Linked DNA regions of Drosophila melanogaster. The protein of the gene in region 1 interacts with the protein of each later gene in a pairwise test. Each region holds a gene or a part of one and is shown on either strand. Other genes may lie near its edges.

The links. Proteins that work in one complex are often made in the same cells at the same time.
Region 2: the proteins of side-III (region 1) and Surf4 interact in a two-hybrid assay, tested with the Drosophila melanogaster proteins (one large-scale study listed by BioGRID).

The regions. Positions count from the first base shown.
Region 1 is NT_033777.3:5,956,528-5,961,166, reverse strand, and holds the start of side-III (sidestep III), read left to right. Parts: upstream 1-1,611; 5' UTR 1,612-2,342; intron 2,343-4,639. Other genes in the region: CG11373 (uncharacterized protein), read left to right, coding at 222-377, 662-685.
Region 2 is NT_033777.3:15,343,143-15,347,911, forward strand, and holds Surf4 (surfeit 4), read right to left. Parts: upstream 3,035-4,769; 5' UTR 2,818-3,034; coding exon 2,767-2,817; intron 2,011-2,766; coding exon 1,747-2,010; intron 1,682-1,746; coding exon 1,271-1,681; intron 1,209-1,270; coding exon 1,122-1,208; 3' UTR 511-1,121; downstream 1-510. Other genes in the region: CG31301 (uncharacterized protein), read left to right, coding at 3,163-3,541, 3,652-4,010, 4,067-4,263, 4,322-4,483, 4,548-4,769. UniProt on the Drosophila melanogaster protein: Endoplasmic reticulum cargo receptor that mediates the export of lipoproteins by recruiting cargos into COPII vesicles to facilitate their secretion.

The DNA.
Region 1 (4,639 bases):
CGAGTGAGTGGACTGCCCTTTGGCCTGTGACTGGAAGTCAGACTCATAGTCAGACGTGTATTCGTTTGCATTCTGAAAGACTTTATATGAATTTGATTCGATATCCTAGGCATCTAGTGGGCGGCCACATTAAATTCAATCGGTGTAGCACACAAGTGATTGAAACATGTGTAAATTTTACTGTCAATAGTCTCAGACAATTTTCGTAACGCGCCGCTAAAATGCCCGAAAAACCATCAGCAAAGTCGGCTCCGAGGCCCCTGACCAGCATAAAGGGGACCAGGCCCTCCACATCCTCATCCAATCCCACCACCAGCAGGAGCAAACCCACAGGAACTGGAGTGGTTCGACCACCATTGCCAAATGCACACGATAGGGTAAGATTTTTTAGATTTTTTGCAAATGAGAATATAATCGATGAATTAATCACTACATCCTAATGTTTGGATTCGATTCGACTAATTGAATTACAAACACCTATGCATGAGTAATTGAATCCCCTCTTTTCATTATACGTTATAAAAATGGTGGCAACTGAATAACAATAACAATATCTTTATGAATAATTGCTTTTTCAATAATGAGAAATGTACAGCTGTTTTTAACTCAGCTATTTCGATAACAAGAAAGTTGAATATATTAACTGTTGAAAATTTTACAGATTTGGAAGATTATGAAGATGTAATAATATCTAAAAATATTCGGTAAGTTATTAAAATTTGAATAACTGTTGACTTATGATTTTATGATTTCAGGTCCCCAAATTGGATCCACGTTTTAAATCCTGATATTCTTTTTTTATAAAATGTACGGATTCTTTGACGTCTAAAGCGCTGAATAAAGCGAATAAATCCCAAAAGGGAAATTACTCTTATAATTTCTTGATAAGCTGACTGGAAGTTGGAATAAGCGCAGGCGCTTGTCCTCGCAGAGAAGAGAGTAGTGTTTGAGCTTGTTGGGAAATTTTCTCTTTAAGGGGTACTTTTCATCTCAGTTTGCCTGAAGCTGGCTTTGAGTCTTAAAAAAATATTTAAGTCAATAAGAGTGTTAACTGGTATTATTTTTACTATAAGGGGCTTATTAAAAACGTCAAGAAACTTGTCCGCTGTCCTTTTTATGGATACTTAAGACGTACAAAAAGTTGCTGAATAACTTTAGATAAATAGGATGGTTTTAAAATGATTAGTGGGTTCATAGCTTGAAGAAGGATAGTTCTTGGTCACATTGGTACCAGCAAAGATAAAAAAACGTCAATAATACAAACATTTGATAAACATAATGGAGATATTTCATTCGTAAATAAAACTGTAACTCAACTTATGGACAGTTCTCTATTTAAAATCATCCTGCAGGACGAGAATGTAAAATTGCTTGGGATAGGCCTACCTTGGCAGTTCCTTAAATGCAATTTAAACCAAAACAAACTCAAGCTGCCGATACACTCTCTTCGCCGAGCTCGTGCCATTTTTACTTTCATTCGGTAATTGAGTGAAAACGAGGTTGGTCCTCCGAGGGACCTCTTCGCGCGACGAGCGCAAAAGTCCCCGAGATGGAATCGACCGAGCCAAAGGATATTTTGGTGCTCGGCAGCGTTTTTGCCAATGCCGTGGCTCAGTTTCGTATTCGTGTCGGAACGTGGCGCTACGGTCTTCTGCTCAACGATACGCGAAAATCCAATCCGCTGGAGGAGCAAAACGCGGCGCGTGGAACCCACAAAACAAGCAAGCAAGCCAAACGAAAAAGGAAGCTAAAGCACAACTCATTCGGTCGAGTGTGCCTGTGTGAGAGTGTGTGAGTGCCGGAATATCTGTGTGAGTGGATCGGTCCTGTGTTGTTTGGGCCATTTAATTTTATTAGCGCTCCGCGATGCGTCATTAAAATTGCAGGCAAAACACAGAAATACAATGAATGAAAAATTAAATATTAATTAAAATTTGCATACGAATCGAGCGGCGAGCGCTGCGATTCCGCTGATTGAAATGTTAAATAGATATTAAAAATTGATGGTGTATTTCGGTCACATTTCGTTCGTCGGTCATTCTGCCGGAAAAGTCAGACTGAGCCGTGGCCCCTACAATTCATACATATACACACATCCTTACAATTATGTGTATTGGCATCTTGGCCATCGGGAGTGCGTGTATATGACTTTATTAAACTTGTAAGTCCCCAACTCGCGCGACCTTTTGCACATTGTTTGTGGACTTTGCGAGTGCTCCAGATTTGCCAACCATTTGTTGGTGCACTTATCGCGATTGCCGCACGGATTGCTTCACCTGCAACCTGCAACCTGCCACCTGCACCTGCCACCAACATTCTGCACCCTGCCGCGTCCTCGAAAAGTGCGTATGGAACTGCAAGTTAATTAAGTATTTGACTCTGCATATGACAAATCCCGGTTTAAGCGAAAAGCGACTTTAATTCGCAATTCGAAACGGGTTTCGTTAATGTTTATCGTCTTGTTCTCGATTAAATCGGCTGTCGCGGGCGTAATATATTCATGGAATCCTTCTGCGTGCTGCACTTAATAGCATTTAACTGGCAATTAATTGCCTTGAGCTCAGCCACCCACTGGTCAAGGAATCGATGTATTTGTTTCGTCAGCAGAACACCAATACATTTTTAATGTGTTATTATGGACATTTTTCAATTAAAATTCCCAAGCGAATAGGGTTATTAGCAAAACAAATGAATACAAATATTTCCGAAGCCCATTATACAATGGGAAATTGAAGACAAAGTTAAAAATTATATACATTCGTTAAAGGCATTTCCCGTATTCCTTTTTGAATAAAATTCGCTCGAACAAAGGAAAACTTCTCAGTGCCAAATCAAAATAAAAATGATAAAGCATTGTGCAGATTTGTACCAGCATTTGACCGAAATTTATGGCCGCCTCCTGCACAAAGTGGTTTAAGCCAGTTAGCCCGGCCATGAAAGCTGCTTACAACAAGCCAAAGAGTACGCCAAAAACCGGGCTCAGATAGGCCCAAGGACAGACAATCGGCAAGTGGGCTTATTTGCAAGGGCCGGGCTAAGCATTTTGGCCAGACAGCCGGCATCTGCACTTACCTATCTGCGGCAGCAGCACGTTTTATAATATTTATGCATGTCCCTGCCAACAGGAGATGTGCACTCATAGTTAGGGGGTTGAGGGTTTCGAGAAGCAGGGGGATTTCCGTGCCAGGACTTTAGGGGTTCATGAGCTGAAAAATAAACTCGACGGGTAGCGTGGATCTGGAGTGTGTGTAGAGGCACTCTGACATTTGCCAAAAGTAACACTCCACTCTCAAGTGGGCCAGGACATCCAATGGGATGCATATCCGAGTGGTAGGCGCATCCGAGAATTACATTTAAAATTATTTTACTTGGCAGGGGCTAGGGCAAACAAACCAACACAAACACAAGCACATCAACAAATACAAATACAGATACAGGAAAAACAGAAGCCGGGCAACAGATGCCTCAACAACAAAATTAACGAAATAAAAACAAGCCAAGAAAAACAAAACAAGTGCAGCCAGAGAAACACGCACAATACGTTTTTTTTTAGTGGATGTGGAATGGAATTAACCCATTTAGAAACTCGCTTCCACATTCGGGGGCATTTTCCTTACTTTTTCTGTAAGCATTATTTGCAACCTTTATTTGTTTTGGAAAAATGTACCAAATTTTATATTTATTACATAGTGAATGCAAATGTTGCTACTAATTTATGAAAGCACAATGCAAATGGGTGTTCTAAGCCTTAAACAGTTCTAGATGGTCTATTAATTTTCAAATTTCCGTTATAATGGAATAATATTTGCTTAAATGATGGCGATAGGTTTTCCCAGATCCTGAGTAAATAACGGGTTAACTGCGAATGGCTGGCAGAAAGCCGAACGAACATCTCGACGCCCACTTGGCTGCTTGGTCGTTTACACAAGCTCAACATTTCTGACAGTGGCACTCGCAAAACGAGGAACATGTGGAGCAGCTGTGGAAAAAGATTGATTCTTCGCTGCTCGGGAACGCAGAAAAAAGGACCAAGTGCCTAAGCAACAGCGAGCCCCTGGGTCCTTGACTTTTCCTTTGAACTATTGCAGTGGCCGAGACCGTTTGTTTTGCTTATTCCCCATTTGTTGCTTGCTTACAGCTGTCCGAATTTATTACGGCCAAAACAAATCGGTAAACTTTCTATGCCGACTTGCAGCAACTTTCACGTACTGAGGCTTTCCCTGTGCACTTGCTCCTGCCTTCGCATTCGTGTTGGCCTTTTGTCATAAAGCTTAACACATAAAAATGTTATTGTCCGATGTGGAGTTGTGTGGCTTATGCTGATTTGTGTTGACCTAGTGAGCTTCCAAGGCAACGGAAGAGAATCGGGCTCAGAATCGGAATGAAGTATGGACGTTTTATGATCGTAAGGCTGATTTAGGATTCCCAAGTGAAAGCTTTAAGGACTAGAAGCAAAAGCGATGCGAGTAGGACGCCGAAAGGCGTTGCATATCCGGGCACCAATTATTGGAATGCTCGTAAAATTCCGGCTTACATAGAGAAAATGTAGGAAAATGTGTCTGGTATAGCTCTACCTACAAATTTAAAGTAACTTATTCCATTCGGTTGGGTTTATGGAATTTGATGAACCAGCTTTCAA
Region 2 (4,769 bases), 9.4 Mb from region 1:
TTCCGCCCCTATAAGTTACTTGTGTGCATTGTGTATTGCAATTGATTTGAACTGATTGCAACAATTTTTGGAAATTAATCAAATGTACTCATCCCTATTTTCAGATTTGATTTCAAGTTTTTAAAAAAAAGTGAGGCCGTTGACATTTCACTGCCTTGTTGGAGAGGTCAGGGCTTTTCAATATATTGTTTTATATTTAGTTAATTCACTAACATTACCATTCAAAACGGTGCCTAATCATTTTTTTTATCATTATATTTTGTGTCTATTTACAAAATTTAATCGTACTACTTGTATAAGGTTTATGCTCTTATTTTTGCAATAAAGTTATTTATTGTTAGTTATGCAGGATTCACTAGCAGCTAACTTAGTACGGGGTACCCAGTAGTCGAAGAATGGGCATTTCCCTCTTTGTTGACGTTGCGAGTCAGCTGTGCCTTAGTGCTGGTAAACAAACAAAAGCATTAACCATTTATCGGCCAATTGGCGCCAAGTTTAAAATGCACAAGTCTCGGTTTTTCATCTTTATGTTTATTAAAACGTTACAATTTAATTCTATTACACTTTTGCTTATAAACGAAAGAAACAAATCATTGTCAATTGGTACATCATATTTTATACATCGTTTTCATATTCAAACTTCTAGCAATCAACAAAAGGCAAACACCAAGGTTACAACTTATTTATAAGAGTGTACAAATCATATAAAAAAATCGGCAAAAAACATGGATATTGACAAGCATAGATATAAAATCAGTTATGTCTCTCATTTGGGGTGGGCTCGAAAGTGACCAAACTTTTTTCTTGCCTGTTCTTTATGTACAAAAATAAAATGTCCTAAATGTTTAAAATGTCGAAGTTTGTCGTTGAATGTGCGCGAATGGATTTGGAGTTGGGTTGGGGCGATCCCAATAAGTGAGCCATTGGAGAGGGGTATTGCGGAAGTCCCTTTATTGAAAATTGTCAAGTTCTTATACGTGCCGGTGTTGTGCTGCTGATGCTGCTCCTGTTGTTGTCCCATTTTATGGTAATTCCTAACTAACATTTCTCAGAAGGAGTAAAACACGGTAAAAGTCAAATGTTGAAAGTGTTTCGTTCAAGGAGCGACCGTTGCCTGGCCTCTACCACTTCTTCTTGTGCTCGTCCATGGAAACGCCGCCAGGGCCCAAGGACACGATCATGAGGAGGCCACCGATCACCGAGAGAGTCTGCGAAGGGAATGCGTAAAAATAACACAAATTCGTGCGAAAGATATTGTAAACCTGCTAACCTGGAAAAAGTCGTATTTCAAGAAATCCCTGAGTGGCTTGTAGGACGGAATGGTCCACCAGGCATTGTGGTACAGGTTCAGGATCGTAAGCAGAGCCACCAGAATCAGGGCGGACAGCTTCGTCTTGTATCCCAGCACGACCAGCACCATCAGAATGGAGCCGATGATGTCCTGTATAACTTGCCATACGCTCAGCTCAAAGCGGATCAAAGTGATGAACATGAAGGCCAGCAGGATGCGGCCCGCCAGCTGCATGAAGTTCTTGGGCTTGTTTTCGCCCATCGATGGCACGCCGGCAAACAGGCTGCGCCCCTCTATCCTGGCTTCCGCCAGGACGAGCAGTAGGGCTCCGATGAGTGCAAAGTTTCGCAGTAAGAACTGGAAGTCCCACAGAATGGAGTAGGCAACGGTCTGCAAACAGAGGATCGGGTTAACGTCAAGGCTTTTGCTTCTGGCTGATATAAATGCAGACTCACCTGCAACACCACAATGAAGAAAAGCAGTCCCACCGCTATGTCGACCTTAAATCTGGCCATCACCATGCCGCAGCCGCCCAGTTGGCCCAACAGGTTGACGAGCACAAAGACGGTGGCCAGGAACTTGCCGCAGCCCCAGCTCATGTCCATGTACTCCCGCTGCTCGTTCCATTGGATGTACATGCGCAGGCCGTCCTCGAAGAACGTGGCGATGAGGCACAAACGGGCCACTGTGGGCAGCACATTTTTGCCGCGCTTGATGACCTGCAAAAATGAGTGTTCGATTGGTTCTGGTTGAGTTGAGAGCAATTGGGATGGGTGCTGATATGGTGATAAGGGGACTACTGACAAGGTGATAAGGGATTTAAATATACAATGCCGTTGAGCGTGGCTTGCGCGTAGTCGCTAGAAATCGCCCGCTGGCTGTGACGTGTCTCTAAACGCTAGTATCTCTCGATTGCTATCTGCCAGCTAACGGGTTTTGGCCCGGCTGTCAATGTAACTTCATACATGTATGTATGTAAATCGCGAGCAAGTTCACCTGGCTTTCTAGCCCAACTATTACGGAACTCGACCTGGCCGCTGGCGTCCAGCTGCCCGCTATTTCTTTTTCAACACTTTCACTTGCGGAGACAGCTCTCTCGCACACACACACAGACACATACGCATCAGCACACAGGTAGAAAATAAGCAGCGAGAGAGAGAGTTTTCCCTGCGGCAGACGCAACAACTGTCAATTGCGGTACTGGAGTACAAGGCAAACCCATCATCTGGGTTGCACCCAGATTCTTATTGGAAGCAAATGCCCAGCACGTTGCCCCCATGTCAGCGGATCGTGATTATATGCAGCCAAGACCCTCGAACTTTGCCGCGTTTGGGTGACGTTGGCAGTTTTCCCAGTTTGCAGCTGCCAGGGCTTCCCCGCAAACGCCATTTGGGGCGCATCGGGAAGACGCTTCCTGCGGTGGATATGGAGTCCTGGTGGACTTCTTTTTGGCAGTGGAACCTAATATATCTTACCTGTTCCGCCACATCCTCCGTTTTCGCTATGTACTCGTTGGGTATGCTCATGTTGGCTGCTTTGGGCTGATCCGATCTCTCACTTTGGGGCAATCGTCTGTGGAGACACTTTGGCAATTCGTTTCTGACTTCTTGGGCGTCGCGTCGCTCTCCAAATTGTTGTTAAGTTACCAAAAAATCATGAATTAAAAGGCAGGAACTTAAAAACACACACGCACGACAAAGTATAGCCGTGATGGGGCCTATCGTTATCGCTGCGTTATCGATAGCCAATGGGCAACACATGGCCAATCGAATTGATAATTCGCTGTGAATGGGAAAGCAGCAATCAAAAAACAAGCGTGCCTGTGCTCATTTTATTTGACAAGTTGAACGCTATTTATTTTCCCTGTAAAGATGTCCGTTCAACAATCCAAGCCAAAGCAGAAGAAAGTCAAAGTTAAAAAACAGGATGATGCCGGCTATGGATCCGGGGAATTTTCCTTGGACTGGGATGTAGACAGCTACAAGACGGAATACGAAAGTGATGAGCACTGGGATCTGCGACGCAGCTTCATGCTGGCCCACAAGGATCGTTTTGAGGAGGACCGGCTGGTGTGCCTGGCCCAAACGTTCGTCAACATGGAGTTCATGGGCTGCAAGTATCCAAGCGCGACGATGCTTTTGGTGGCCGAGTTGTCCAAGGAAATCGCAGCGGATTTCCGTCAGAAACGGGAACAGCGCCTGAAGAGAACATTTGTCTCGGCGTCGGATGCGGCGGAGCAGCGCGCCAAAGGTAGACGACTGAACAATTAGTGGGCCCATAGGCGAGAGAAGATTCTTTTTATCACTAGTAACTATACGAGCCAGAGAGACCAAAGCCTAATGCCTAATTCCAACTACTAGGGCGCCGGGCTCCACCCCTTCCCTCGACGAGCTCCCCAGAGGATAGCTCACACATAAAACGCCAGTGTTTTGGCGGCGGAGATCCAGTCGATCTCTATCAAGATCTGCGTTTCGGTCGGCTCATTGTGTACTTGGCTGGGGGACGAGCCTGCCTGCAAAACTCCTGCAACATTGCGAATGTCAAGTACGAAGAGCGTGTCAGCCGAGATCAGCCATTAAGCGATAATACAAAATACGCCGAATTATTAGTAAATGATGAGGTAATAGCGACAGGACAGGGGGAGAGCCTTAAGGCGGCCAAGAAAGCTGCCTATAAGCAGGCGCATTTGACGATCCAGTCCTATTGCTATAGTATTAAGGTATGAAATTTCTGAAATAATGTATGCCTTATTAAACCCGGTACTACGCTACACAGCTGAATGCCACGCGCGACACCATCAAGGTGGAAAAAAACAAGGACGGCGTCAACATCAAAGTCACCAATGAGTCCGCCGACAGTCCGTGCGATCCCAAATTGGACCCCAGCAACAAGGGATATCGCATGATGCGACTGATGGGCTGGACAGGCGGTGGCTTAGGGCGACTGAAGCAGGGACGTGAAGAGCCCGTATGGTAAGAGTTCGACTTTTAACGTATCACCAAACGAAACTATTTTATTTTATATTTTCAGTTATCTGCTAAAGAACAATCGTAATGGTCTTGGATTAATAAATCCAAAGGGAAATTTCGCTGATTACCGACGGCTTATAGAAAACTATGTGAGATCGGACGATATACGTGACATGCAGTTTGAGCCCACGTTTTCGAAGGAAGAAAGAACCACGCTTCACCAGTAAGCACCGTCATCCCACATCGTAAAAAATAATTGCTTATTATGTTGGCATTTCCCTTTACAGAATCGCCAGACAATTTGGCTTGCGTTCCGCTAGCTATGGGAGTGGAGAGAGCCGGCGCCTTTTGATTACCAAGAAGATCGACTATGGCACAATACTGACTGAGGTCCTGCTTCGGCGGAACCCCAAGTTTTGTGATCGTTACTTTGTGCACGTACCCATGCAGAAGGCGCACCTGTTTCCTGGTCATGTGGCCGACCTGGAGATGAACGATGTATGTGAATA